Linked DNA regions of Lepisosteus oculatus. Each later gene encodes a partner of the first gene's protein in a complex. Links are inferred from orthologs where the notes say so. Each region holds a gene or a part of one and is shown in the gene's direction. Other genes may lie near its edges. The genes, in order: nup107, nup85, cetn3 and ranbp2.

Region 1 (7,676 bases):
ATACAGTTCTTCTATCCACAGCCTAGTTCTTATTCCAAATACACACATTTTCTTGAATGCCTGTTACTTATAATTTCAGAATCTATATCAGAACACTTCTGAACATATTTAATATTGGGATGGAATATCTTCAAGGGACATCTGATTGCTGCTTCAGGGGGTGGGGGTCAGTAGGTGGCACACTTTCCTCTAGACCGGTATGGGGACACTACGCAATGCTGTAAGGTACTGTGGACATTAAACTGATGTCTTGACTAGTCATTGAAGAATCCGTGGCAGAGCTTGTCAGAAAAGGAGTGTAAACCCTTCTGTCTTGGCACCCTGAACTTGCACAGACAGCCTCCCTAAAGTTCCCCTGTAACTCAAATGGTGAATCACTTTCTCTCTTCTTCAAATGATCTGTGTGGTGGAACTGCCGTCTGTCAAGTAGGTGGGAGATGCACTTTGGTGCTGGATTTAGGGACCCCTCCTATGTTTGAAATATGCTATACAGTATATGAAAAGGGCTTGTGTGATGACCCATCTTTTCTTAATCTACACTGCTTAATAGCTAGAATCCTATTGCTGTATAGATCACCTAGTTCAGTTTTAGTTTCCATACCCATACATATAACAGAAGTATGACTTATTGGTCTATAATTATTCAGCTCAGTTTAGTCACCTTCTTAGGGATGACAGGATGGGCCTTGTGAGCAATTTTCCAGTCAGTGGGTATTGCCCCTTTCCTCTGTGGCTGTTGGAAGAGTTACCAGCCCGTGAGTCACATCTCTCATTTCAGAAGTACAATTTATCGAATACATTCAGGCCCCAGAGATTTTAAGTACTGCTTACACTCTCTTCTTGTGAATAACATGCAACTTCCTTTGCTCAGCCTGAGGCATGAGGTCAAATTCTTCCTCACTGAATACCTGAGTGAGACATTTGTTTAATTCGATGAGTCATTTCCCTTCAGTGTCTAATTGGTGTCCATTTCACCTTGTGAGGAACTTTCCTTTTTCCTTGACTGTTCTTGTGCTGTTAAAATACAGTGAATGACCGTTTTAATTTATGAACCTCCTCTTGGTTATATTTGTATTGAGATGTGATTCGAAAGGAATCCGATCGCATGACTTGTGTGAGCTCAGACGTGTCTGAAACTCGGTTCCAATGGGGATCTGCTCTTCCCGTGCTGAGCAAGCGCTCCTCGACGACTCAGCGGGTGGCTTTCTTTAGTGTCTCCGGGTGTTGTAGCGCCCCCAACTGGCAGTTCTGTCATTCAGCCTTTGGGAGGAGCCAGTCGCCTGTTTTCAATGCTAGCTTTATCGTCCCATTTGGGAAAAATATCGAAGATATTAATTATACATGAAGCCTACTTCAACCCCTCGCCAAATATTCCGACTCTAGTCCTGAAAGTTGTGTATTGGTATGGAAACACGTTCCTTTCAATTTATATCATTTGGAACATTTCCAGTGAGTAGAGTATTTCCACCAAGAATTACTTTATAAAGCACGAATTCCCTAATACATAATGTTTTAGATTGATTTAATTTATGCTGAAATGAAATTAAAGTTTATTTATATGTAAAAATAACAGCCGTGAAATGTAGTTCGATGCTATTGCAGTCAATTACACCATCTGGATTTACACCGAATGATTTACGTAAATAGGTGTCTTACTTTTTTCCTCATTATTTTCTCGATGGGGGGGTCTATTTTTAGTTCTATTCAATTATTTTAATCACAAACCACCCCTCTGTTGATTGGTATCTTATTCTGCACCTACAGAATTACTTTTCTTAACGCTCTTTAATCTTTCTTTGCATCTCGAAATGCGTAAGGTAAACAAAATTGGACTGCAAAAATGCAAAACGCACTCAGCACTTTTCCCCTCTTTGATTTGTCTAGTAATCCCTTTACCGAAGGCTGCTACGATAAAAATATGTGAAACACAGCCGAAAATCAAATACACCCAGCACTGCTGTGGCGTGTGGCTAGGATGTTTGGTAATAAGGGACTGCGAACTATGCATATGTCCATTTCTGCTTTACTCGATACTTCGTGTAGCTTATTCCTAGGTATTACCCTTCCCGATCTCATTCCTCTGGCAATGCTGGAGTCGCCAAATGAATCTAATTGAAAAAAATCTTAATCAGTCTGAATCCTCTTAAGAACACGGAGCTGACAAATCAATTCATTAAACAGTCTGCAACTGTGTGCTGGAGCCTGCATAGCTGGCAGACAGCAGATGTGTCTCTTCAGACGATATGGAGATCCTGTTGCTGTGTATCGGTCCCAAAGACGAGCTGAGCTGGGTTGGGTGTTACTCCTCCTCTAAACAGAGAGCAAAAAGGCCGCTAAAGCATGTCTGGACACTTCTTGCGCAATGTGACATCCTGAAATAGGTTTTGCTCGTAGGAGTCGTGTTCTATTTTGAGTTGGAAGAATAAAGGGTTGCGTCTGGGTTATTTTGTTTTGTTTTTAAGCTAGGACAATAGCCTTGTTCAGTAAAGTGCCCACAAAGAGTGACATACTGTATTAACCTTTTCTACTAAACAGTGGTACACGCTTATAAACATTCTTACATTCATGCAGCCATTCAGTGTATCGTTTACCATCGCGTTCACCATCACATTTCAAGATAAACTTATGCAAGTTTACAGAATAAATATTTTGTGGAGGAAAAGTTGAAAAGCAGCATTTCAGTGTAGCCTAAATATTTATTTTCTGAAGAAATGTTCTCAAAACTGCCATTACAGAAGTTTAAAAAGATTCCCTCTCCCCCCTCCCCCCATCCATTATTAGCCAAATGGAAATGTCAAAATGGATTGGTACCTTCCTAAAGGGGGAATGACAAGTGCACAACAAGACAATTTTGGACATGTTAGTGTTAACTGTAGTGTTAATGCGTGCGCAGCTATAGGCTTAGGAGCTGCGAAGGAACGAGTCCGTGCTGAAAAGGTAAAAAAAAAAGCACAGAACTCACGAAGCGTCACAGGAAGACTCCACACCTGGAACATTGTGTTTTTCTTCTCTATTTTCACTTTACAGAGCTTTAATGAATCCTGTTTGTATTTGTGTGTGTGTGTTATTTATTAGATTGTCTTCGTTAGCCTCTACATGCAACGTTGTGCCTGCCTAGTTGTAGAGCTGGCTTCGTCTACAGAAGTTTCACATTACTTCTTTCTACCCACCCTTTTCATACAATGACTAAACCCCATGTGTGTGTCAGAGGACAACATGACAGCGTGGTGCATGGGCTTCATGCAGTTTGCCAGCGCAAATGTGTTTCTTAGAAATAACTCTGCATACCGTTCGTGCCTATTGTGACAATAGGAACACTTGAATCTCATGCTTTTCAGCACTGAAGTAAACAGAAAACTACACCTTCGGATGAGACATAAAACCAATGTCCTGACTCTCTGTGGTCATTAAAAATCCCAGGGCGTTCCTCGAAAAGACTAGGGGTGTACCCCGGCATCCTGGCCACATTTCCCATTGGCCCTTACCAATCATGGCCTCCTAATAACATCTATGAATTGGCTTCATCACTCTGCTCTCCTCCCCACTGATAGCTGATGTGTGGTGAGCGTTCTGGCACACTATGGCTGCCGTCATATCATCCAGGTGGATGCTGCACATTGGTGGTGGTGGAGGGGAGTCCCCATTACCTGTAAAGCTCTTTGAGTGGAGTGTCCTGAAAAGTGCTATATAAGTGTAAGCAATTATTATTATTATTATTATTATTATTATTATTATTATTATTATTATTATTATTATTATTATTTATTACACATTAAAGCACTGTGGCCAAAAGACAGCACTTCAGGGGCAATCGTGTAACTTGTGTGCGTGCTGACTTGCCACGAGCAATGATTTGAAGGCTACAGCTGTCCTGAAAGGGGTCTAGCAAATTGTAACAGAAGGCCGCTGTGAATCTCTACAGTAGGACCCAATGTCTACTGTATTCTGAATCAGACACCCACCTCTGTCCTTAAACCAAGAACAGGATTTTCTTCTTTCTCCCAGCGCTTCTGGATCTTTTTTAACATTTGTTGATCACCGAATAGTAACCTAATTATAAGACGAAGTAATTTAGATTTTGACCATGAAGTCTGGATGTAGTCTACATGCCGTACAAATTGTAAAAAGCTTCCTGGGACATTCCCTAAGTCGGTTATTGCTTGATATGAAAGGTGCAGAATACGGTTTCTTGAATTTATCACCATTTGGTGCGAACCCTCGAAAAGAAGTTAAACAATTTGAGCTGGAAAAAAATAATAAACCGTATTTGTATTGTGAATTATTTTTTATTCATATGTTTTAAACAGTTCATCACTATCGGGGAAAGAGTCCTACTGGTCCAAAAAACTCATTACACTTTCTCATTAAATACTTTTATTAGTTAATTAATCTTAAAACTTATCACTAAAGACTTAAATAATTTAATTTTGGGATAAGGTTTCTGGGTCTTTATTATTACTGTCACTATTACTCATTTTGTAAGTATAATGTAAGAAATTACTTTTTTTCACTGAGCCCCTCAACGACACTAGAGGAGCGAAAATGGATGGGTAGTAGTTCGTGTTTCAACTACTAGGTGGCGCTCTGATGTCTGCAGGCCTAGCGGACTCCTCGGTGTACCCTCTTTACCACAACTGACGAGGCATCCTACACGCTCTCCGATTTCACCGATCGGCCAGCCCGCCGGTAAAATATTCAGACAGCAGCTTTTTTCGAGATATTCCGTGTTGTTGTGACCATAGAGGACGAAAAGTAAAGGTGGTTCTATAAATCCATGCTTTCTTAAGTTCAGAAGGAAGACCTGGTCTTGAGGGTAAACCGTTCTTGAGTTAGAAATCGACTACTTCTGGACTCGACAGAAGCCCCCTGGCCGAGCGGGAAGAAGGAGTGGGAAGTCGCTCTGTCCACTACTGACTATTCCGATATAAATGCTGCAGCGATGGAGTGGTAAGATGTTGCATATTCTCTTCTTCCCGACCTAGTTGTGGCACGTTTTTAATGGTTATTATACCCGTGTTCTGCACTGTACCGTAGCAGTGTGGAGACATGTGGCATGCCAGTTTTGGAGGGTAGGCCGCGGGGTACAACACTAGTGAAACACATCTCACCTGTTACAGTGAGCTGTGGGACGGGTACCCGACGTTGATTTGTGAACATTTGTGATGTACATGGGTGGAAATGGATTCGATACTCGACCCTCCAGGCGCCCGTAATATAAACACATTGAACTGAACGGTTATTTTTTCATTTTGAGATCGATATATTGGACTCTTTATTTAAGGATGTAGGCAGAGTTAATTCAAAGAATGAACATTATATAAGGTATTTAGCAATTCCACTATATAATGCGTTTAACGGCACATCAGCTTTGTACTTTGCTGTTGGAAAGTAGCATACCGAGAACGCCTGGACAAAATATGTCTAGGGAGCTCAGGGTTACTACTGTCAATGTACAGTATGTGGGGTTATGGAAACGACAGTTGAAAGCAGAGGATCCTCCATATGGCAGAAAAAGGTTAGGGAATAGTCGGCATGGATTGGAAAAGGGTAGTTCTCGCTTAACAAACACACTTGCTAGAGTTCTCCAAACACGCAAGAGCACCAGCGGCAGATTAACGCGATAAAGTTAATTCTAAAAGGTTAATTCTAACATTGTAGGTGATAAGTATTCAAATAAATGTTTGTTTTATTATTAGGAGTTGAAATTTAAAGGGTAGTGAATAAAAACATGGGTAAGGGATGAATGCTCTAGCTGGGGTGATGTTATTAGTGGTGTGCCATAGGGACATGGGACCTGTGCTCTACCAGATTTCTATCAGTGATCTAGATTCTGGCGTGGAGAACAATCGAGTTCATATGATGCTACCAGTTTATGAGGATGAACAAACACTATGAAAGCAGCCAAGTAAATTCAAGATTTAGAATTCCAGACTGGGCAAACACCTCACCTGCCAGATGACATTTAATCTAGACAGAGCGTTACGTGCAGATTGTAGAAACTAGCACGAAGTACAAAATGGGAAACACAAATTTAGAAATAATTGGGTGCTTATGGTAGCATCTTTTTATTTCTTTATAATGTGTGAAAACAATACAAAAATCAAATAGGTTATATAGTTAAATAAGACAAATAAGAGCTCATTTTAGAACAGCACTCAGTTTTTGTTCAGAAAATAGCTATATTCTGGGAGTACAGTCCTGGTATTAATGTCCTCTTCTGACATGCTAAACAAACAAAATCTTTTTAGTCTTGAACAGAAAAGATTACGACGGGACCTGATTGAGATATTCCGAATCCCCAGAGGTACAGCCACAGTCAGCCTTGTGGGCCTCTTCAGAATAAGTCCTGAAATGAATCAATGGGCACAACGTAAGGGGAGAACAGGAGACACTTCTGTACGCCGAGGGTTGTGGGAGCCTGGAACATACTGCAAAGCTGATCCCTGCTGTGGCTTCTGCCCAGACAGCAGGATGATCCTCTGATCAGTTAGTTACTAGCTACCAGATGGGCTGGATGGGCTCAATGACCTTCCCTTGTTGGCCGGCTTAAGGTCCTTACGTCATTTATCACACCCTTCCCTTGTCCCCAGCGAAGACCCTCCTCCTCGAGCTGCGGTGTCAGCAGAAAACTAGCAATAACCTGCTCTTAATGGCGGGAGATGCAGTTCTGTTCGTGTCTACAGTTACCCACAGCAAGATAAAACACCATAGCTCTTTTTCTTTAAAAAGACACCTGTCACCATGCGGTTGGAAATGGACATGTTGCCTAAGGGGATCTGCCGCCAGGGGTCAGGAAGAGCACTCAGTCCTGGTTATGCAATATTTCATGTCCGTTTTTAAAGACGCCTTTGTGTTTTTGTTTTTGGTTTTTATGGGGGGGCTGACATTTCTGTCTGTCTCAGGGGCAGCAATGACCTGATGTCGCCGGTGGTCCGGGAGTTGGAGGTGACGCGCGCGGCCCGCCGGAGGAGCCTGAAGAAGAAGGTGGCCTGTATCCTTTCCCTGTGTCCCCCGGCCCCCTGTCCCGCAGCTGGCGGGAAACGCGTGGCGTGGGCCCGGGGAGACAGCCAATAAACACCCTGATGCTGCCTTTTCCTGCTGGACCCTAGAGTGGAGGATACAGGCAGAGTCAGCAGTGTGCTGTCTCCAGCTTGTTTTGTGACGTTCTGCGTGAGAATAAAAAAAGCAATAGATAGCTGTGTGAATCCAAGATAGTCCATGGTCTGCATGATGGGAGAACTTGTTAGTGAGCGGAAAACAGGGTCACGAAGGGAGAGGAAGCATAGTTCGGACCCGTGTGTTCATTCTGCACAAGCGTCCTGCGTCGACTTGTCAGATTTGTTTGTCTGGGACGCCAAAATAGGAGCGGCAGGGAATGATGTCAAATCAGTAAGGGGGTACCAAAGGACTTAGACCAGGGGTGCCCAACCTCTTTTAATGTAAGATCTACTTTTTCGTTTGCCAGTCCAGTGCGATCTACCGGTGTGAATTTGAAGCTCTGATATAGGAAAAACAGACTGTGGGCACATCAGTACAATAACGATACCCATCGCTAAAATGACAGCCAACAAAAGCAAGTCACTCACGCTACAGTGAACAAGTAATGTTCCCCATTTTTTGGGGAAAAAAAATCTCCAAACTTAATGAGAGCATTGGCGCTGAGAAGCTTTCTTGAG
Region 2 (7,685 bases), on another chromosome or scaffold:
TGCATCACCAGATATCAGGCTACCCTGTAGTTGCCCATTTAAACAACATTATTCACACCAAGCCATCCCAAAATAAACGCATTTTACTTAATAGAGCAATGCTGCTAGGGAAATAATCCTAAACCAGCCTGACAAGCCTCTGAGGAGTTTGGATTAAAAGCATCATTCCGCAGAGTAAACCTGCACACCTAGAACTAAGAAGCAGGGGGTGTTTTACATTAAACACCAGTAACACTTAGCCGTCTATCTGAACAGCTTCTAGTGCCTTAGGCATCTTACATAAAAAAACATTCAAAGAAGAATAAAAATCCCTAAATGTTTCCCACATGTATGTAACTTGTCACTCATAATAATGTTACCGTTGCATTTGAAAATGAAGGAATACATACCATTTACAAAATATTCTATTAAGCTCTGAAGCATTTTAAGCCCCTGGGGAAACTGAAACCCCAAGGATGTCAGGGACCAATGTCTGATGTGCAGTAATGGCATTAAAAGCTGAGTGCCTACCTCCAACCCAAGGCTGTGCATGTCCCCACCCCTACACGCTGCTCCCCAGCCATACCTGTCTCTCGCAGTAAGCTTTCATGAGTTTGCTGAGTGGCGTGTGTCTCTTGATCTTAAACTGCACCACGGACCCATCCTGCCCCGCCACCTTCAGGTTAATGTGGTCGTTGTTTTCCGTTTTCACTCCTTCCTAAAGGACAGAAGCCACAAGACACAATAAGAACCTGCTCATTCTGTGGGAAGCCTCTGCCTGGTGAGTCTTCACATTATTATCCTTCTTCTTCCCTGGTTGGCATTCTCCATATACTCAAGCAGCAAACAGGGCAAATTACTCAAGTCTACAGATCTACCAACAGAGGGAAAAAAAGGAGATGCTGCAGCTCAACTTGGGTTTTTTTAGTGAAAAACATAAAATCAGGATAAGACTTCTTCAAGAGTCTTCCTTCTTCACATTCTTCATCTGGAATCTGAGACTGGATTCCCGTTGAGGGAGTCTGGTAAGAATGCATTAATGAAGAACACTGTGATGAATCTTCTCCAGGTTGTTTATACTGCTTCTAGATCAATGAAAAACTCCTGCCAACTAGAAATGCTTCTATATCAAATCCCCACCTTAGCATGTACCACATATTTCGTTCTCAGGGATAGATATTCTTTAACAAGAGGGACTGCAGAATACATCTCGTTCAAGCCACTACAGAAACGCTCACACAAAATGAAAATAAATGGGTTGTGTATTCGCGTCACATCACCCATGTCTTCTTTGTAAAAAAAAAGTTTAAGACCTACACATACACTGCACAGGTGATTGACACGGAAGGCCAACCACAAAACCTAAACCTTTCGGTGCAAGGTGTCCTCAGCTAAAACCACCCCTGAGAGTTGGGAGCTTGAACTAAGAAGAAGGGATTAAGGAATCGGTAAGTCTGGCTCAGCGAGCATAAACTAGATGTTGTTCAGAAAAGGCCAAACGATGGTTGCAAGGCCTGTAAGAAGCTTTAAGCCACGCACGGCTTGCTTTAATTCTACAGGAACATTTCGCAGTTCCCCCCCAGATTCCTATCGGTGCTCCTGTGCTTACTCCTCTCCTTCCACTGCGTGGCACTGTCGCCAGCAAAAACCCCGAGTCCCATGGAATAAGACAGCAGTCACTTTAAAGGTAAGGCTGTGAAGCAAACTGTCCCCACAGCTTATCTTCCACAACACGGAAACCCACAAAACTTTTTTTTCCCAGCGCTTAAACAACAATAAGCTTACATTTAGCGGTTTTAACTCTACAGAGGGTACGTAAAAGTGCACAGTATAAAAGTATAAAATCCACATATTTCTTGGATTAGAGACTGAAAAACCACATGTTTTGCAGTTAGCACATAAATGTTATGAATTAGAATACTTACTCCTGTTCACAACTTATTATAAGTCTACAATGTCTACTTATTATTTGAAACCACTATCTTACTCATGCGATTTTGTGCGTCTGAGAAAAGTACTGTAAACATTAACGAATGACTTCAGTTGTCCAGGTTAAAAAAAAACACACACCTTTGTGTCACCGGTCGGCATGCTCGTGTCCATGAAAATATCTCCACGCTCGTGGGAAAGGTCTGACAACTACACTTCCCACCCCACCCCCCCACAGACAGCGAGACCAACTGCGCACGGAAGAGCTACACTTTGGGCATCTGGTGAGCACCATCATCTGCTCAGGTAGAGAGCGGAGGTGGGACAGATGATGTATCCGTAAGGGTCTTCTTTATTTTATTTTTTTTTTACCACTGCCGGCTTCCGACCCGTGTGTTGTGGAGGAGGTCGCCCTTCCTTAGAAGCGGCTCAAAACTTCGGGTGGAAAGTGGAAGGTGCGTCCCCCGTCCCCCCAACCCACCCCGTCTCTCCCGACGCCAGACATCCCAACCCGGCCTCTCCCGAAGCGAACGGGGAGGGGAAAAAGACGAGCCTGACACCACCGGCGGCGGTGGTCCGGGGGAGAGAGGGGGCATCAGCGGGCAGCCCGGGCCGCCGGGGTGTTTTGGAAGACATCAACTCCCAATGAGCGCGCAGCCCGACACACGCGAGGTCCACACTGGGCCCAAAACAAGGAGAGCAGACCGGGCCCCCTCGCCCCCAGGACGGGCCCCCGGCCGCCCTCCGCGGCGTGCCGCAGAAGCGGGGCACTCCTCGATTTTAGAAAACGACTACTAAAAAGAAGAAAAAAAAAGTTAAGATCTTTTCTGATTGCCCGCCTCTGCAGGCTCGCTCACATCCCTTCCGGTGCTAGACCAGCGGTAGATTTCGCCGATCGCTTGGCTCACAAGTCAGCGGAGATACCGATGAATCGATCTCACTTAGGAAATAACGCGTATGAGGAAGACGCGGGCATTTCGTAATCAGCTTTTTCTTTTGCTCACCTTGGGTTTTTCGTCCGCCATGGCTTTCCTCTCCGCGTCTCTCTACGCCGCCACACAAAGAGTAAGTCGGGAGCGCGCACGTCCTCGCCGCCGACTCATTAAACCGGCATGGCGTGCGCGGGCACGAGACATTGCTCGTCCGCGGCGCCCGCTGCTCACTGGACGGAGGCGGTCACGAGGGCCGGCTCCCCGTGCTCGCCTAGGCGGGAGTGACGTCATCCACGTTATTGGCCGCCGCGCCGCCGCTCGTGCACGCGCATGGCGAAAAAATTATGTTCATCTTTTTTAATTTGTTTTGTTTTACACGGATAGAGAGAAGCATAAAGGAATCCCACTCGACCGAAAAGTAACATTTTTCTCATGCCCTGGCTTCTGGGATAGACATTTAAAACAACATTCATAATTATAGTGTATTCTGGGAATGTAGGTGACCAAAGGACAATTTCTGGAAAATTCTGATGGAGCAGGCTGTGGAAGCCATCTTGTTTTCCTGTGTGGTGGGTTGTTTTTCACCAGTTACAAATTATCCACAGTACAAAGACACAGTCAAACCCTTTTTTTCAGTTAAAAGAGAGACATTTTCCAAGAAGGTGTTAATAATTAGCTTTACTCTTCGCGGGACAAAGTAATTATTTTGTAAATGCCAAAATTCCAATTCCATGACATAATTTCATGAATTTGCCATTTAAAATAAACATTACCCTGGGTTGTGCTTTCCAACATTTCAGGCATATGAAATGCAAGATTTACTGGGACACTGGGAAATTGACCCCCAGTTGCTCATGGTTCACCACAGGGGCAGGCCCTATCTTCATCATACAATAGTAATTACCTATATCTTATAACTACACCACTTACCCTTACATTTAGATTCTTAAAGTAAGAAAAGCAAACTTGCAAAACTCTTTTGAAGCTTATATGCATATATCACATAATTTATAGTGGTTCCTCCATGCTCTTTGACACTTAAACGTTGAACACTGATTATTATAGCCACACTATACAGTGTGTCAACAGTAGTAATAACAACAGAATTTCTGTTTCATGTAGTTCTAAATGTTTGATGCTGTATCTGGTGTGTTTATTGAGAAGGATTTGTGGTTGGTCGTTTTTCTAAATAAACATGAATTGTTAAAGGTATTATGTCATTGTATGACATCTTTGAATAAGTAGTTTTAAAGCCTTTCTCTTTCTCCCCTCTCGAAGGGGCAGGTTTATTACCAGCTAGACCCAAAATTATATGAAAAAGTGTGCTTTGTGCCACATGGACATCCAAATAAATAATTATTTAAGAAGTAAGCGACCATATCCTTTGACCTTTTAAACATCAGCATTAGAACCACAATCAGTAGTCTTCGAACGTAAACCCAGTAGTTAATTGAATGCGTCCATTTGTATTTTCATCAAACATTAAAATGATCATTTATATTTAAAAAAAAATCAATCTCCAGTTTAAAAATACCCCCCCACTATGTTTCTGTTCCAGTTCACATGTGAAAAGAGAGACCAGTTCCTTTCGTTTGAGAAGCAGGTTCCCTCCAGCACAGATGATCACAAAAATATATATTTTTTAAAAAGTATGTATTTGAAACAAATATGTCCACGTCTAAAATACTGCCGTATTTCGTGGTGAATAAATCACACAAAAACTCAAATGCCTAAACGCGGTTTTAAAAGATATGAAACCCAGGAACAACCATCAGCTGCGTTCAACACTTTTGCTTTCACAATATTTTACGCAGGCATCTGAGTAGACAGTCCGGCTCAAGCCCGGGCACATGGGGTCCTGTCTCGTTTTTTTTACAAAAATCTCAATGCGCTTAGTTTCTTACACATGCGAATTTTTTTTTGATTCACTTATTGCGGAAGGAAACATCTTTGCAAAGGTTTATTTTTTTTTTTCATTTTCGGTAGGAAATGGAGGAGGTGGATGTCGAGCCGACCACAACAGTATGTTCTCTCTCTGGTTTATAATTTGTAACTCGGGGGGGGAACCGTATAGAAACACTGTAGAGGGATGTCTGTTCAGTTTTGTAGTCGCACATTTGCCTAAAGAAAGCGGGTGTTTGCTAGCTCCTGAAATGAAGAAGAGGCGGCTGTAATAAAGACTACGAGTGGTCTTCGCCTCTGTTTGAATTTGAGGCTGAATTTGTCACGTTTCCAGTTGTGCCAGCGCTTTGACGCGATCCCGGTGAAATTAGGATATTTGGTCATTCAGAACTTCATGAAACATTATTGCACAGCATTTCACGACCTCTTTTTATTGTTCGGAGATGGTTTCAGGGGATCGCTTTTCTTGCAGCTAGGAGTAAATGTTAAGGGTTTTTTTTTTTTGGTCTGCCGGGCAGGAGGAGGGTCGTGAGTTCAAATCCCGGACGTTTCGCCGCTGTCGTCTTCTCTCAGTCAGGCAGCTCACTGCCGGTGCCGGTGCTCACTGCGAACGAGAACATGTTGTTCAGGACCCCTTTCTGATTTGACAAAAGGATTCATTTAACTTAATTATAAAAAAAAAACGTAATGCACAGCTCAGTCCTGAACAAGACCACTTGATTAGAGAAAATAAAAGGTAGCACAGAGACGCGTTTAGTGTCCTGTCTGACTCCTGGTTTCGATTTAAAGTATATTATTATTATTATTATTATTATTATTATTATTATTTTATTTTGCAGCTCATCCCAGGTGTTGACTTCAGGCAGAAGCACTTGGGCTTTGTGTGGGGTCCCAGGGACATACTGACCTATGAAACTCAGTACAAGACAGCAGGTGAGGCTTCCCTGCCGTTACACGGTGCCTGTTTCTGGGTGATTCTTTTTTTGCTACAGCTCAAACGGAGACTTGTTCTTCCTTGATCGCCCCGTCAGGAGCCCCGGCTGCGTTTGCGAGCTGCCCGTGGATCCACATGGTCAGGAAGGATGAAGACATCTACTCTCCCATCCTGCGCAAGCTCTTCAACGAGTCCCACCACATCTTCGTCCAGCTGCAGAAGAGCACAGACGACACCGCCAGCAAGGCCAAGAAGCCTCGGTACACGGCCTCCGTCACCATGGAGATCCGTAGAAAGATGGCTTACTGATTTTGAGTATCTGACGGGGGTGTGGGTGGGGGCTCTGTTCTTTTGTCGTAGTAACGTTTCTCATCCATGTGGGGTAAAATCCATGCAGGATGAATCTGGTCATTGTGACGAGTAATGTACCATTTCAAGTTTTTTTTTTTTTTAAATGCTGTGGTCAAATAAGATAAGATTTTTATTGTCCCCTGTGTGAATTTTTTTATGGACACCTAGCACTCCTGTACATTTAAATAGAATGCAAACAAAAGAAAAGAAAAACATTGCACATTATTCTATTACATAAAAATAAGAAAAACATTGCACATCACTCTGTTGCACATGTACAGTATAACGCATAACAACATGTAACATTTATAACACATCCCAAAACTCAAGGGGTTGTAAGAGTGACTTCTCTGAGAATGAGAATTAAAAATGAGATTAAACGACTTCTCTGCACAATTCACAGCAAACCCAGACACGATGCAGGATGCTTGAACTGTCCTCCTGTATTTGCAGGTTTGTCAGCATTAGTAAGAACTACCGATCAGTGATCCGGGCCTGTATGGAGGAGCTCCAACAGAATGCAGGTACCAAGAGTTTCACTCCTGTCATGCAGAACATGTCTCATGGCTGTGACAGCAGTATCTGCAGGGTGATTTTTTAAAAACTATCCTTTTTCGGTTTCTTAGCACTGCCATTAATTTGTTGTGATTTTTCTGTTCCCTGCAGTTTCTGCACGTGACGCGGCTCTAGCAACACAGTATGGCAATCAGGTTGGGAAAGCTCTTTTTGAAGCTTCTTGCTTCATACGCATTGATGTAACTGAATTGATTGCATGCAAACTGTGGAAAAGCATAGCTTCTGACACTGCTGCAATTCTCATCTTCCCTTGGGCTTCAGCAGAGTTGCTGGGGAGGAGGTAAAAAAATCACGTCAAGAGACGTTTTGTGGAAACTCAAAAGCTTTCAATTAGGAAACTGTAAAACTCATAAGGCTGAAAGTAACTAAAGATGGACAGAGTGGTCTTTTTACCCCTTGACGTTCTCCAGACAAACTAAAGATCTGTGCATATCCATACAGGTGTCAATTCTGTTGGCAGTGGAGCTCATCTGGAATCTATGTGAAGTCTTGTTCATCGATGCTGCCCCAGGTTTGTGTTTTATGCATCCAACTTTACAGACTGTATTCATGAACATGAGCTCGTGAACATTAGTTTTTGGGTAAAGGTTGATAGTGTTTCTGTGAAGGTAAACCTGGCCCCTTCCAGTTTCTGTAAAGTATTGTATGACATTCCCATCTTTCCTAGTGATTACAATTAATTACATTTATTAATTTGGATGGTGATTTTTTTACAAAGGGTTTATTAATTGCATCTGGTCAAGATGGGAAGCTTGCGGTTTTAACAGTAGTTCCTGTATGCTCAGTCTCCCAGCAGCGTGAATGTAGTGGAACAAATAAAGGTTAATTCCATGTTGAAACGTAGTAAGAAAGATGAGACAAAGAAAGGGGAGAAAAAGTGTCCAAACAAAGAGAGACTTGGGGGAGAGGTGTGAAAAGATTAAATCTGTAAATGGATGGAGAGGTTCTAAAAATAATTTTTCATTTGATCGAAGGGGGAAGGTGAGATGAAAGGTTAATCTTGGCTTCTGGAAAGCCACTGTACACACTGACCTTCAGCCAGATGAAAATGGTTGTGTAGGCTCACCTTGCCCTGCCTGTGT
Region 3 (7,135 bases), on another chromosome or scaffold:
ACATGATTGTGGCTTGATACTGAATTGGCATTTTACTGGTCGAAAGTTCAATGCAACTCAAATAGTTGCAAAGACAAGTAGCGGCTTTGCTTTCTCCTACATCTTTAATCGGAGGTTTTCCTACCACACTTGAGCTTCAGTGGCATTTGGCCATGTTCCCTTCTCTCTGCATTTAACATTTTCCATTACTTAACCTTACAAAACACGGAAAGCTTGGAATTTGTACAAGCGTTGATGGGTTCCTGTGGTCAGGTGTTGCCACAACCTATCAGACATCAGAGAGACGAGGAAACCCAACACCCAAGACATTTTCTGCCCCTGGGTTGGGTTGGGCTTTGTTTCAGCCTTTCCTTCACTCGCAGTCCAGCTTTAACAAGTAGACACTTGGTTTGGCACTAAATATGGCAGTTCTGAAAATGCAGACACGTACTCCAGACCTGGACTATGCGACTGGCTGCTCAGTCTTCACACTTGCTCTTGTTAGCCAGTTCTCATCTCTTCTTTCCTTTTTGTAATTTTTCTATCGATTGATTGTCCTTGCTGATTGGAATAAACTCTTGGCCAGGTCATCCCCGTAGATGAGAATCTGTTCTCAACTATAATGTCTGGTTAGAGGATCATTGTTTAAGGAAATGGCATCAGGAAATGGTAGACATATTTCGGGGCTGTGTTCTTTGTACCACAATAATGCTGGCATTACATCATCACCTATTTCATGTGCCATAGCTTCTGGAAATATCTCTTTTTTTGCTTTACGTATAAGTGTTACCTACACTACATGTAAAGCAAAAACCTACCAACTACACTACCTAACTACTGACCATCATTTCCAATTCAAGTAAAATAAAACCAATTGAATCGTAGGATTGGCAGTCTATAAAGGTTTGTTTTGTTCACACTTTGTCACCTCCCCAACATTCAATTCAGGTAATAACTTATTAATCTCAATACAAAAAAACACATACTCTTCCATGGCAGAAAGTTCAGTGAAGCTAATGTGTGGTAGAGAGTTGAATGTTGACAAAGTATTTTAAACACTATGTTGCAATGGAACATGCTCCGAAATCTGATAATGTGAACTTTACAAGAATTGTGTTTTATGTCCAATAGAAATTGCACATTAAATGAAATATTGATTGTGAAAATAATCTGCTGAACAAGCATTGTGCTTCCATTTCAATTGCAAGAAGAGACAATATGAATATGTTAATTATATTAGGCCTTGAATTGTAAATTGTGTGATGTGTTTGGGGAAATGTGAATTAAAAGAAAGCCAGTAACCTAAAACGTGTTCTGGAATAGGGAGATTCTTGGTTATACCATATGATATGAGTGAAATTTCCCATGTTTTGAACTTGTGAAATGAACTGCTTTTTATTCCACTGTAATAAAAGATGATAAGAAAAATGTTCCTCCATTGTTATTTTTTATGTGGCTACCAAAGTATAATCCCATTATATTGTGGGCATTGGGTAGAAAAGGGACCAAGGTTAACTGCATTCATTCATATTCAGAGTGACAGAGAAGCAGGAATTACCAGAAGCAACAGGAATGGTATGCTTTCATTCTTTCTGATACAGCTTGTTCCTTTGAAGCCTACTGTACGTACCTAGTTGAAGTACCTTGGATTTGCACAGCGCTTGTAATGTTGAGGAGTCCCAGAGAGCCGTGCGGGCAGCCGAGGGCAAACATTGAAGTGTAGCGCCCCCTGGTGTTGATGGGTGGCAGCTCGTTTTGCACCTGTTGCAAGGCAGACGAGCTGAAGAAGCGACAGTCTGCTGACAGATCCAGTTTAGCTACACAGGAGAAATCTAGAAACAAAAAATGATGTGAAATATAGCCAGGACACCAGGCACGTCAAACCCTCTTTTGTCAGTATGGCAATGGGGTATGAAATAACAGTAGCATACTAGGAGCATAACACAGTGCAACCTTCTTGAGCAGTAATTTCTTGTTTGGTTCAGGGAGGAGTGGCTCCTTACTGGCAAACCACCACCACTTCCAGGAGCAACCCGATTTTCCTCCGATCTGTCCCACCCAGTTAAGCACTGTCCCGGCGAAGCACTTTGCGGCCAGGGTAGTGTCTGTCAAGGCCAGCCTTCAAGCCGCAGCAGGAGAGCCGCTGATGTTATATTTAACGGATATCACTTCGTGTCAATTACAGCGACTGGGAAGTGTCTCTGCAGACTCCTCAGTCAGTAGTGCCAGGGCTTTGGGAGAAATTGCCAAAGCACAGAACAGGGACATTAAAACGAATGAAGCAAGAAACTGCCTTCTTCATGAAGTCACTACACAAACTATAGTACATCAGAAATGTAAATTTAAGAAATAATAGTAATTGTTTAAACTTATATAGCGCTTTTCTGGACACTCCACCACCACTGGACTCCCCTCCACCACCACCAATGTGCAGCATCCACCTGGGTTTCCGTAGTGTAGTGGTCACACGTTCGCCTAACACGCGAAAGGTCCCCGGTTCGAGACCGGGCAGAAACAGCCTCTTAGGGCGGAGCAGTGGCTCTGTGGCTAAGGATCTGCGCCTGTGACCGGAAGGTTGCCGGTTCAAATCCAGTGGCTGGCAGAGGAATCCTACTCCGTTGGGCCCCTGAGCAAGGCCCTTAACCCCAACTGCTCCAGGGGCGCCATACAATGGCAGACCCTGCGCTCTGACCCCAAGCTTCTCTCCCTGTCTCTGTGTCTGTGTCTCCCTGGAGAAAAGCTGGGGTATGCGAAAAGACGAATTCCTAATGCAAGAAATTGTATAGGGCTAATAAAGAAACATTACATTACATTACGGCAGCCATAGTGTGCCAGAATGCTCCCCACACACCGGCTATCAGTGAGGAGGAGAGCAGAGTAATGTAGCCAGTTCAGAGATGGGGATTATTAGGAGGCCGTGATTGGTAAGGGCCAATGGGAAATTTGGCCAGGACACCGGGGTAACACCCCTACTCTTTTCGAGAAATGCCCTGGGATTTTTAATGTCAGGACCTCGGTTTTACGTCTCATCCGAAGGACGGCACCTGTTTACAGTATAGTGTCCCCATCACTATACTGGGGCATTAGGACCCACATGGACCGCAGGGTGAGCGCCCCCTGCTGGCCCCACTAACACCTCTTCCAGCAGCAACCTTAGTTTTTCCCAGGAGGTCTCCCATCCAGGTTAGCTTCGATGTTGGCCATACTTAACTTTGTCATTGAACGAGTCACCACAAAGCAAAGCCATCAGCCATATCACCCTGCAACTCACACCTGCTTAGCTTCAGTGGGTTGCCAGTTGTGAGTTGCAGGGTGATATGGCTGCTGGCTGGTGGCTTTGCTTTGTGGGGATAGGAAGAAGACATGCCTGAAGAAAGCCGAGACGTTGCGTTTCTTTTCAGCAGGGAATAAACCTTTACCTGTTCCTTTGCAGCCTGCGCCTGCTGACGCAGCTCCCTACTTGAACTACTAAAGGGAGTGCTTCTCTCCGGCTGGGAAACATTTTGAGCTTCTGTATGGGGGGCTGCAGTCACCTCAAGAGCCACAAGTGAACTGAGAGAGCCTCAGCAAATCAAATGATTGCCAGAGAAGATATCAGGTGATTTCTGCCTGGGAAAACTGCAATACAGGATGATCAGTGCAGTGTGTTGCTTGTGCAGTGCGTGGATGTATTTGCAAAAGTTGCAAAGCAACGATAAAGAAAAAATTTTTAACTTGAATTCATGATTAAGATCATGATTAACCTTAATTATCTTGTGATAATGTTGTAGCAGTTTTACTCATTAGTCTAACGTATTGCAAAAAAATGACAACGTTAATTTCCATAATTTATTTCAAGTGTCATTTTATGAGTATCTTGCTAGATTTCTTATATAAAAACACCGTGTTGAGACGCTAATCTCGACTAATCAATCAGCACGTTTAAGAAAATACTGCCAGCAAACATCTACTCCAGTCACTCAAACTTCAGTCCCTCCCAAAGGCTCCTGGGTAAAACCGTTGCTTTACAACCAAACCAGACAAGCAAAGCGTCTTGATTGACAAGTAAAGGACCAATCATGATATTAGTTGTCTTCCTTGACACGCCCCCACAACAGTTCCGTCCAATAACAAATCAGTTTGTGGGCGACCGTTGAAGGATTTGTTTGGGTCTTTGTATTGTATTGAAATCGACATCTGGCGGTAGAGATTACAGTTGGTTGAGAGTTATCTGTTTTTTTTTAAGTGTATTTCGGCTTTTAGAGACATTTAAAAATAAACAATGAGTTTGTCGTTGAGGTATGTAAACGTTAACCTTTCAGCTTTTCAGTGTTTGAGTGTGTCTTCCTTTATTTAGCTGGGTAGTGGAAATGTCTTAAAGGCTTCGAGGAGATAAATGTCAGATGTGTTTTTAATTAACAGAATAGTTTTTGCAGTCTTCGGTTATTTAAAACGTTTTGGGTGAGGGATTGTAGAGATAAAGCAAAACTGATTTTCATGGCTCTTGCCAGGGAGTTACGGTAGTGTTTATAAAACTTTGTGGTCGCCTTTATGTTGTCAACAAAGACAGAGAAAAAATTATCATTTATCCATTATCTCACCCACCCATATGTAATGAGGCGGAAAAAAAGATGACGATAATGTGCATTGTTGTATTTGGTATAATATTTAATGTTACCCAAGCAGGCAAATCTGTTCGACAAATGGATTATTTTTTATTTTTGTATAAATATGAGAATGGCTCGGCATTGAAAGACTATAAACAAAACTATATTAACATTGACGATCAGTTACTTTTATATTTCACTTGACAAAAGATATGTTTACCTAGTTGTATACTGTCATTTTAACAGAAAACAACAAAGATAACAGCCATCATCTATCATCCATCTGTCATTTTTAAATGGGTGTCAAGTCTTTAGGTGGATTGAATCTCGTTTCGTAGTATAACAACATGTAATATAAGAATTATGCCTCTGGGCTAATTTTATAGAACACTCTGAACGTTTTTCAGTCTATACACAACAACACAAAAGCCATTACACATACAACCATCTGCATCTGAAAAGGAGAAATTTCTATCTGTTATCCCTAATCACGATGATGCGTTAAAATGGATAAGATTTTCCAGGCAAAGGAATTCTGAGCCCAATTATGGGGTGAATTCAATCAGGATTTAAAGATTCCTGCAGCTCCAACACATGGCTCACCAGATGTCTGCGATTTTTTGCAAATTCCACCTTTCAGGACAGAGATTGCAGCTGACAAAAACAGAAAAAAGAAGAGGAGAGAGCTGACAGAGGAGCAGAAACAAGAAATAAAAGAGGCGTTTGATCTCTTTGATACTGACAAAGACAAAGAAATCGATTATCATGAATTGAAGGTATGTATGGAGCCATGAGAGATGTTCACAGGGAAATGGGCATGGCTTTATGGAAACGGTCTTCTGCACTGTTGGGGGCTTCGCTTTGGTTAAAGGGAAATGATAACTGTAAATTGTTGTGGGGTTTCTTCAACTTTGGAATGAAATTCTGATGTAGACTGGAATTTGCATTATGATCATCCTAGAGAAACTAGAAATATATTTGGAGTTGTCCTAATGCAGTTTTTTTTAAGTTCCCAGAGTTCAGTTGTGCATGGGTAACAAGTATGAAAATGTTTTTCTTTCTAGATGTTTGGATGGAGGTAGAACTTGAATTGAAAAGTGAATTGTACTGAAGGGCTCCTATAGATTTTAATCCTCATTCAGAAAAACAAAGCTTTTGGATAAAAAGAAGGGAATATCTAGTTAGACGCCCCTTTGTTTTTAATTGAGTGAAGCTTAAATGGATCTATGGTACACAGGCAAAGGGTGTGCACCTCTGGCATTAATCCCTAGATCATTAAGATATCCTCAACTATAGGGTAATCTCACTAATGCAGCACCCATTGTTTTTTAAAGGTTGCAATGAGAGCTTTAGGCTTTGATGTGAAGAAAGCAGATGTTTTAAAAATACTCAAAGATTATGACCGCGAAGGAACTGGGAAGATTTCATTTGAAGATTTTAATGAAGTGGGTAAGAAACCTGTCTCTAAAATACCATATGTTTTTTTGCTTTAATATTGTGGCTGTAAAAACAAAGTTCTAATTCTTTAAACACACTAAATACATCCTTTAATTTTCTTTTACAAAATAAAAGTGAATGTTGAACACAGAGCTGTTGTGAAATGAACAAAGTTTCAGATTGAACCACAACTTAGACCTTTCTGGCTGATGCAAATTTGAAGCCAGGGAGTTGTTTTGGGCGAGTCAGAGAATAAGGCTTTAGACAAAAAAATGCTGTCACGTTCTGGGTTAAAATGTAAATGTATAAGCGAGAACGGCTGGGTAGGTTTCCAGTATTACATGTCCACACCTATACTGGACCTGTTTTGTTATTACATGTGGAGATTTGTACTATTTTCAGTAACAGACTGGATGCTGGATCGAGATCCCCAGGAAGAGATTCTGAAGGCCTTCAAGCTTTTTGACGATGACGATTCTGGGAAGATCAGTCTCAGAAACCTGCGCCGTGTGGCCAGAGAACTTGGGGAGAATATGACCGATGAGGAGTTGCGGGCCATGATTGATGAATTTGACAAAGACGGGGATGGGGAAAGTAAGTCAGATCTTTGGTAGAAGATTTTAAATTATCACACCTGTTTCCAAGCAGTGTAGTAATAGGCTGTATTTTGTAAATATTAACACTAATGCTAGTCAGAAGGATAGATTTGTTTTTTAAAAAAGAACATTTTGAAAACAATTGAAGATTTATAATGAAATGCTTTGAGCTCTTCTAAACTTAAAATAATTTTAGCTTCGACTTACACTGAACCTTGATATTTTTTCTTAGAAACGGGATCGGTTTACTTGCTCATCATTGTAAGAACATAGGATCTTTTTGTATCAACTTGACCAGAGCTTCCCACAGCAGGAGACTGATTTTGTTTGTTTTATGTAGAGGCCAGATATTTAAGCTCAGTGATGACTTGAGGTGCATTTTTTTTGAAGTGGTGGTAGGGAGCAGTCATGCTTGAAATAGATCTGTTTTTGAAAATGTGAACATATTTACAATGTCAGTAGCCCTATGAGTGTTTCTCTATATCCAGGTAGGTGTTCTGTAGGATTCATTTACAATAAGTAGAACTGCTTTAGAAC
Region 4 (7,392 bases), on another chromosome or scaffold:
TAAACCATTTACAAAAGAACATTTTAACATCTCGTATTCAGATGAGTTACCAGCAGTTAATCCTGAACGTGCTAAAGAGATTTCATGAACGTCAGAAAGATGAATAAGGCTTCTTAAACGCTGCTTTTCTTTTATTAAAACCTCACAGTAAACATGAATTCATGGTACACATTCCATGATAAAATTTGACACTAAAAATGGGTGCAAATAATTGAGACATGAAATTCAAATGTGTACTGTATGAATTACTTTTTGAAGGTCAAGAATCTGAGTCGCAATGTCTTGGACTGTCATTCAACATGTTGCATGTTCTCACAGTTTGTGATGCCACACTTTTGTTTAGAAGAGCTTCTGTGCCAGTCTTGAAATTCTGCTTGTAACCATCACTGATCACTCCAATAAATATTGTACTTTATCTTTATCTGTATTATTCAAGCAGCCAGCTCCAGTATTAAATAAAATGTATATTCTCAATCTCTTGTACAGTGAAGTCATTGCAGATTGTGGTGTTCTAGTATGAGCCGCATGTGTTTGGACATTTGGTGTAACACGTCTGCCTCAGATTGTGCTGGGTGATGCACTGGAGATGTCCAAGTTGCAGTCAGATGCTACTGCCTTTTTCCATGCAGATGGAATTATTTGTTTTTCCATTAGGCCCATTTGGGTTAGCACCATTCATTCCATTCACTCCTGCTCTTTAAGGAACACATGGAGGGATCTGTAAGATTCAATGAATGGCAACTGCCTGGATAATCGGACTCTCGAGCTGAAGACAACCTGACTCTGAAATCTACACATTCACTACGACTCAATCTCCTGACATAGCCCCAAGGGATTGAATGCCATTTACATCCATTCAGCATTTAATGAACTTTATAAAATGTGCAATATTGAGTTTCAATAAAAAAGAACACTTGTGTAAAGTTGAGAAATAAAAATTGTATATCATTTACTTGAAGGGTTAAATGCCTGTAGCCTCTGATCCATGTTCATAATTCCCTAATGTGTTATGTGCATTACTGCACTGTAACAGTATAATGTGATTGTTCTTTTTTTAGTTTGCTGAAATCGTAATTTCCATTGGAATCTATACTCCCAATGTGTTTCGATTGGAGGGATAAATCAGAGGCAAAAGGCATAACTAGTGAAAACCTGAGATCTTCTCGATTCTGGGGGACTTCGTCAGGTGGTCTCTCCCCAGGGGTCTACTTCGTCCGCTGCAGATGTGTAGCCCCTCCGCACAGCAGATCTGGGGAGGAGTATGAAATACCGTCAACAGCTAAATCAAGGGAAGGATTTAGGGAGGTCAGATTATATAAGACCTAACTGGAGTTCACACTTATTTTCTTGGAAACCAAGTAGTCAGGTCCTCAAGTTTATGTTATCTGAAGGATGTCATCATCTACAGAAGTGCTGCCTATCACCAAAATGGGACACTGGTTTTGAGCTGATCCAGAGAAAGAGCTCCACCTACTGGCTCATCACCACTACTGACAGCAGAAACATGATATTCCTCAGTCTCGCTAATCTAGTAATTAATTGACCCTATAAGTAGTAGAAGTCTTAGTAACAATATTTGTCCTCAGCAGAGCAAACGGGTGTGGTTTGTTCTGGACCAGCCAGTTTTCTCATCTGCATTCCACTTGATTCAACATGACAGTTCATTTGCTATCTCAGTTTGCTCCAAATTCACACTCTTTACGAGTCTGTAGCCCTTAAATTAAGTCACCAAGAAAACCTCCAGATTTGTAGCTTTACAGGATATGAAGTGAGTGTCACTACATTAAACGTATAGACAGGACAAAACCAAAGAGATTCGGCTCTTTTCATTTCTCAGTGTAGAATGTTTGAATAACATTTCCATACTGGAGGAAAAGTTGTGAAGAATAAGTGTCCTACTAATTATTACTACACAGTTGCAATTTGTAATCATCTCTGAAAATGAGAGGTAGGGTTGAAAACTAAATGATTAATAAGTGAATGGGCATAGACTACAGAGATAAATGGTCCTTAAAATTAAATGTATCTATAGAGAGTGGTGCAGTGTTTAGCATTGCTGCCTCATGGCACTGGGGCTCTGAGTTCAGTTCTGCATCTGGGGTGCTATCTCTGTGGAATTCTCTAATTGTTCACATGGATTTCCTCCAGATGCTCTGCTTTCCCCCAACAGTCCAAACATATATTGGTAGGTTTATTGCCTTCTGGGAAAAGTGGCTCTGGTGTGAACGTGTGTTTGTGTCTGTGTGTGCCCAGCAATGGACTGGAGTCCTGCCCAGAGTGTACCCTGCCTTGCACCTGGTGCTTGCTGGGATAGGTTCCCGTAAGTAGAATATCCACTGAAAATGGATGGATCATGAGTATGGATATCCATCCATGGATGGATCATGGATAGATGTGTATATAGAAAGGTTTGTTAAAATGTCTTGGGCTTATTCACTTCTATTGCCAGCAGGAAGAATGATTTAAGCACTAATTCACAGCTCTTTTTTGTAGAGGCTTCAAAATAATTTATATTTGAGAAATATCTTAAGTTGACATTTCCTTTGAAGAACTTAGGGAGAAACTGAATTAGGTGGAAAAAATGTGTCACTTTGCCCCATATAGCCCATTTCTACTCCCCAATAGCACCACAGCTCCAGAACAAAACACTGTGGCGTCTAGGAAGAAAATCTTAAAGAGCAGGAGCATAGAGATCAAACATTTTTAAATCGATGGCTACTGCTGTTGATATCTATGTGAGATTTCTTCCTCTAGAGTAATTCGAGTGTTCACTATGTTTAAAACTCTGCAGTGGTAAGACTGCCTATACAGTACATAGGCCAAGAGACAGTGTTGTACTTTCTGATGAGTTACTACGGTGATCTTATAGCAGGTCAATACTACATTAAGCCATTTCTTTCATTTTCATACAACAATTATTCATTTATTATGACTTATTGGATTAACATACCTATTTTCCTTAGTTTCCACAATTATTGACAACAGAATCCTCTGAAAACTCCTCAGTTTTTAATTCAATCTGAAATGTATTTTCTAAGGTACATCACAATGATTTGATTTTAGAAGCATAAAGTGTGGATTCCTGACTACATGTGCATAGTTTGCTGCACATGGTTAAACTGTGGTGTACCAATTCTTGGGATTCTTGAATAATTCTACTTTCCTCCAGCACTGTGTCATTTATCTCTTAAAACCATGTACTGTGACACACTGTCATACAGCACCTCCAACTTTAAAATTAGAAACACTGCCACATTGTGGTCGATCGATTTCCCAATCGACATGAAAGAACTCAGAGTCCAAAAGTTGATTAAATGTTTATTTTACTTTGTATTGTTTTGGGTTAGTGATTTCAGTACAGATTGCCTTAAGAAGAACAATCTGAGAACCAACACTAGAAAAGGAGAAAAAAAATCTGCTTCCAGATTGCAGGAAACAATGAGAAAGTTGATTGTAACGATGCGATTCTGATATTCTACACACAACTGCATTTTCTAGAAATAGTTCTTAAGAATTTTATTCAGAATTGCACCACTTGAAATTTAAGCACAGAGGTCATAAGAGTTACTGTGCTGTTTTTTGGTTTAAACACAATAAATGTTGTAATTTTCTTTTACAAAGGTGGCATTCAAGTTTGTTGAACTAAATGTTGGTCACTGTGCCCTGAAATGTTACCCTTAAAAATATTATATATTTTAAATCGAGTGGAGGGAAATGGCTGCTAAAATTCATAACGCTTGGTCTAGGAAAATATTATTCCAATACTACTGTACTAAATCTCCCAGGCACTGTCCGTCTGCTTTTTATTAATATAGTTGTTTATAAAGGGTTTGCATTACTAATGTATTATATGGATAATTTATCACATGCAGATGATCGCGCATTCTGTCGTGCAGTTATCTAGAAATAAATAGATGTGGTCGTTATAATGACAGTATGTACTGCGACTCTTTCAGATACTTTTGTATTTTAAGAGACATTTATAAGTAGGAAGTTGAACTAAACACAGGAGTTCAATGAACGAAGTAGTCGCACATCCACCACTCAAAAAGTCGTATAAACTTCAGAAACATGCAAAAAATGGATTCAACACCTAAAGCAATAACAAAATAAAGCAGATAAGCGTTTGAAAGCTCCTAGAGGGAAAATATTAGCGATAGCGCTGAATTTGTGAGGGGAAAAAAATCCGAATAGCTTTGAAAACGAAAATAAAACCAATCTTTGCCCCGCCCTTTCAATAAATGGAAAGACTGCGTTTACTTTGATAACACCGATAATAATGAAAGCCAGTGACATCACAGTGTCCCCACAGCGCTACGCCATAATATCTTTCTAGTCTACGCCACCTCCCTCCACTTAATTTTAAAAAGTAATCGCTAGGCCCTCAGGAAGTACGTCTCCTCCTGTCAGCGACTGACGCCAGAGCTGGGCGGGCGTGTAGAGGGCTCCTTCAGCCATTTACTGTCTACGAGTGGTACAGTAGCCGCACTCGTAGGGGAGTTTGAACTAAGAAGAAACCGGGCTGGTTACTTTTTCGTATTTTTCAGCGATTAAATCTCTTGGGTGTATGCACGTTTTATTTATTCGTAACACAACATGCGGCGCAGCAAGGCCGACGTGGATCGCTACGTGTCCTCGGTGCAGAGTTCCTCTCCGTCCCTAAAGGAGGTGAGTGGAAGCCGGCATGGAGTCGCCGCCGGAGTGCCGCGGAGAACAGAGCAGGCCTCGGCGGGCTCAGTAATCAATTTGTCGGGCACGGGATCGAGGGGTGCTCTGTGTTGTGGACGCTGGACACATACGAAGTTTGAACTCGGTGTTGGGCACTGAAAACATGCTTTTGGGAGCCACGCGTAGTTCCTGGTCGAGCCCCCCTTTGCCTAGGAAAGCGCGGCGGGCCCGAATGTTTTGAAAGTGGGAGCGGAGCGCCTTAGAATCGCCGGTCCTGCTTCCTCTGCAGATCATGAGCTGCTTGTTAACTACAGTTTCAGGTGTTTCGTAATCGTTGCTTATGTTTGTGGTACTATTTTTATAGTTGACATGTACTTTACACAAGATCTTAAACTTAATTTTTGGAGGGCCTCGTCGTTTGGTTTGGTGCACTGTTACAACTACTTTCAAATGAAAACTAAATAACTGTGATGCTTCTAGAATTCTAACCAATTTCCAGAGTGTTTCATACGTGAATATTTTGGGTAATCAACTTTTTGAAAGAAAACAATCTGTATGTCTTATAACTTAGAAAACAATTTGGTTTGACTTCTTAGAATGGAAGTAGCAACCAGCTGAAATAAGACTGGATGAAAATAACATTCAAAAGGTTTAAGTACAGTACTCGACCTCACCATTTCGATTAGAAGTGTGTTTGGTAATATAATATTTGATTCTAATTGTGACATTTTGTAAAACAAATGTGAAACCACATTAGAAAAAGGGAACAGGCTGTTCTGCTTTTGATTGAGATATAATCACGATTTTTGCCTCAGGGGAAAATCAAACGTTTATAGATCTTTCCTCCCACCATTTTTATCATGGTTTGCGACACACCTATTCCTGGTGTGAAGTAAGAAATTGTTCTTTGTGCCACCTGGAACATTTTGTCCAGTAATGTATGTCTTGACTTTTTTCCTTAGAGCTTGTAAAGCTCTGTACTTTATAGATTGCTTTGTTAAAACTTTTAAAGAGTGCTGATCTAAATTTCAGTTTAAGTATCCAGTACTGTTTGTATATTTGTATAATTCAGTGATGCTTTTAAGTGACAACATTGTAATCTTACAGTCTGCTTGCAAGTTGATGATTTATAAATGTGATTCGATTTTCAGTCCCTGTTGCCTTTAATAAGCATTCGCTGCAGACAGTCCTTTGTCAGCTGGCTCACTGGTTCTGTTTTTTCTTCTTTCAGAAGCCTGTAAAGGGATTTCTGTTTGCTAAGCTGTACTTCGATGTGAAGGAATATGAACTCGCGAAAAGGTAAGCAGAAACCTTCAGGTTCTGCCATTGCGCCTGGCTGAGGAAGAAGATTTGTATTTAAAATTGTATTTATTTATTTTCTTAGACATGTCTCAGCCTACTTAACTGTGCAGGAGAGGGATCCTAAAGCACACAAGTTTTTGGGACAGCTCTATGAAGAAGAAGGGGACATCGAGAAGGCGGTGGGATGCTACAAGGTCTGAACTGCGCTTTTATCAAGAAATCTCCCCCCCCCCCCCATTTTGCTTTCCAGGCAAAATGAATGAAGAATGAAAGGGACCGTTTTAACCCAGGATATGTTGTAGTGTGATGTCAGCCCTACTGCAAGTCCAGTCACTGGGTCCATAAAAATACCTTAAGCATTGATCAATATCAGTGTTTCATTTATTTATTTTATGGACTTCATTGGGTTAAGCCGGTTTGTTCTGCATACTTATTACATTCAGATATTTAAGGGAAAAGGTATGGAAGGTTAGGTTAAATTGCTTTATGCAACTGTCTGCAAGACTTTGGTCGTTGTGTCCAACAGGTTAAAATGCACAGATCACTGTTGTAAGGAGGTCAGCCCGACAGACATACCACTTAGTAAAAGCCCTTGTATGGCTGTCGGAGTTTGCTGAGGACGTTCGCTTTCCAGATTTATCAACTGGGCAACCCTGAAATGGATGTATGAACAGTCTGATTATGTTAATGTTGAAGGTGTAAGTAGTGCAACGCACTGAACGTTTCAGAAGCTGCAGTAGCGTGACTTGCATCGGGGCCGGCAGAGACTTGTGTTGGAGATGTGTGCAGTTCTGGAGTTCAGTGGCCACGTATTTTATGTTTTGTTCAATGCAGCGGTCTGTGGACCTAAATCCTGCGCAGAAAGACTTGGTCCTCAAGGTGGCACAGCTGCTGTGCAGTAAGGATGAGCCTGATGGCAGAGCGGAGTACTGGGTGGAGAAGGCAGCCAAGTTCTTCCCTGGGAGCCCTGCAGTCTACAACCTGAAGGTTAGTGAACACAGGCGGAGCTCTGCTGGGAAGGAGGCTGCTCATGGCTTAGCTACATATGTAAGCTGGCAGTTCTTAGAATTTGATTCGTGCAAAGGGAGCCATTCAAGCCACAGATCAAGTTCCAGTTAGGCTGGTATTTGCTCATAATGAAACCAGAGCAGAGAATGTTCTGCACAAGTAAGTCACTGTAAAAAGTCTTAAGATTTTAAATCCAGCTTCTAATCACGCAGGTTGCTCTACAGTGGCTGACAGTCAGAAATCGCTTAATTGGTTCTAAGGACATCGGACTTTCACCAATCTGTCACTTGACAAGTCCAGAAACAACTTAATCAGCTCCTGGTGACAGAGTGCTAGTTGTAGAAAATGCAACGGTTGACAAATGGTTGTATTTATCAAAAGTTACATCTCCAAAGTATGTCTTCAAGTGGGTAC

The links.
Region 2: nup107 (region 1) and nup85 share a complex: the UniProt entries of both Homo sapiens proteins name them as parts of the nuclear pore complex. The link is inferred for Lepisosteus oculatus from reciprocal best matches to the Homo sapiens genes NUP107 and NUP85.
Region 3: nup107 (region 1) and cetn3 share a complex: the UniProt entries of both Homo sapiens proteins name them as parts of the nuclear pore complex. The link is inferred for Lepisosteus oculatus from reciprocal best matches to the Homo sapiens genes NUP107 and CETN3.
Region 4: nup107 (region 1) and ranbp2 share a complex: the UniProt entries of both Homo sapiens proteins name them as parts of the nuclear pore complex. The link is inferred for Lepisosteus oculatus from reciprocal best matches to the Homo sapiens genes NUP107 and RANBP2.

The regions. Positions count from the first base shown.
Region 1 is NC_090702.1:23,597,626-23,605,301, reverse strand, and holds the start of nup107 (nuclear pore complex protein Nup107), read left to right. Parts: upstream 1-4,659; 5' UTR 4,660-4,939; coding exon 4,940-4,947; intron 4,948-6,902; coding exon 6,903-6,991; intron 6,992-7,676. UniProt on the Homo sapiens protein: Plays a role in the nuclear pore complex (NPC) assembly and/or maintenance. Required for the assembly of peripheral proteins into the NPC. May anchor NUP62 to the NPC. Involved in nephrogenesis.
Region 2 is NC_090704.1:44,419,952-44,427,636, reverse strand, and holds the start of nup85 (nuclear pore complex protein Nup85), read left to right. Parts: upstream 1-4,676; 5' UTR 4,677-4,690; coding exon 4,691-4,798; exon of another isoform or gene 4,799-4,829; coding exon of another isoform or gene 4,830-4,862; intron 4,863-5,581; coding exon 5,582-5,675; intron 5,676-5,773; coding exon 5,774-5,936; intron 5,937-6,480; coding exon 6,481-6,551; intron 6,552-6,693; coding exon 6,694-6,737; intron 6,738-7,044; coding exon 7,045-7,114; intron 7,115-7,685. Other genes in the region: small ubiquitin-related modifier 2, read right to left, coding at 566-697, 2,913-2,933. UniProt on the Homo sapiens protein: Essential component of the nuclear pore complex (NPC) that seems to be required for NPC assembly and maintenance. As part of the NPC Nup107-160 subcomplex plays a role in RNA export and in tethering NUP96/Nup98 and NUP153 to the nucleus.
Region 3 is NC_090698.1:72,656,563-72,663,697, reverse strand, and holds the start of cetn3 (centrin-3), read left to right. Parts: upstream 1-4,122; 5' UTR 4,123-4,240; coding exon 4,241-4,257; intron 4,258-5,205; coding exon 5,206-5,341; intron 5,342-5,899; coding exon 5,900-6,014; intron 6,015-6,404; coding exon 6,405-6,596; intron 6,597-7,135. UniProt on the Homo sapiens protein: Plays a fundamental role in microtubule-organizing center structure and function. As a component of the TREX-2 complex, involved in the export of mRNAs to the cytoplasm through the nuclear pores.
Region 4 is NC_090708.1:24,300,364-24,307,755, reverse strand, and holds the start of ranbp2 (E3 SUMO-protein ligase RanBP2), read left to right. Parts: upstream 1-4,384; 5' UTR 4,385-4,596; coding exon 4,597-4,668; intron 4,669-5,899; coding exon 5,900-5,967; intron 5,968-6,052; coding exon 6,053-6,164; intron 6,165-6,804; coding exon 6,805-6,957; intron 6,958-7,392. UniProt on the Homo sapiens protein: E3 SUMO-protein ligase which facilitates SUMO1 and SUMO2 conjugation by UBE2I. Involved in transport factor (Ran-GTP, karyopherin)-mediated protein import via the F-G repeat-containing domain which acts as a docking site for substrates.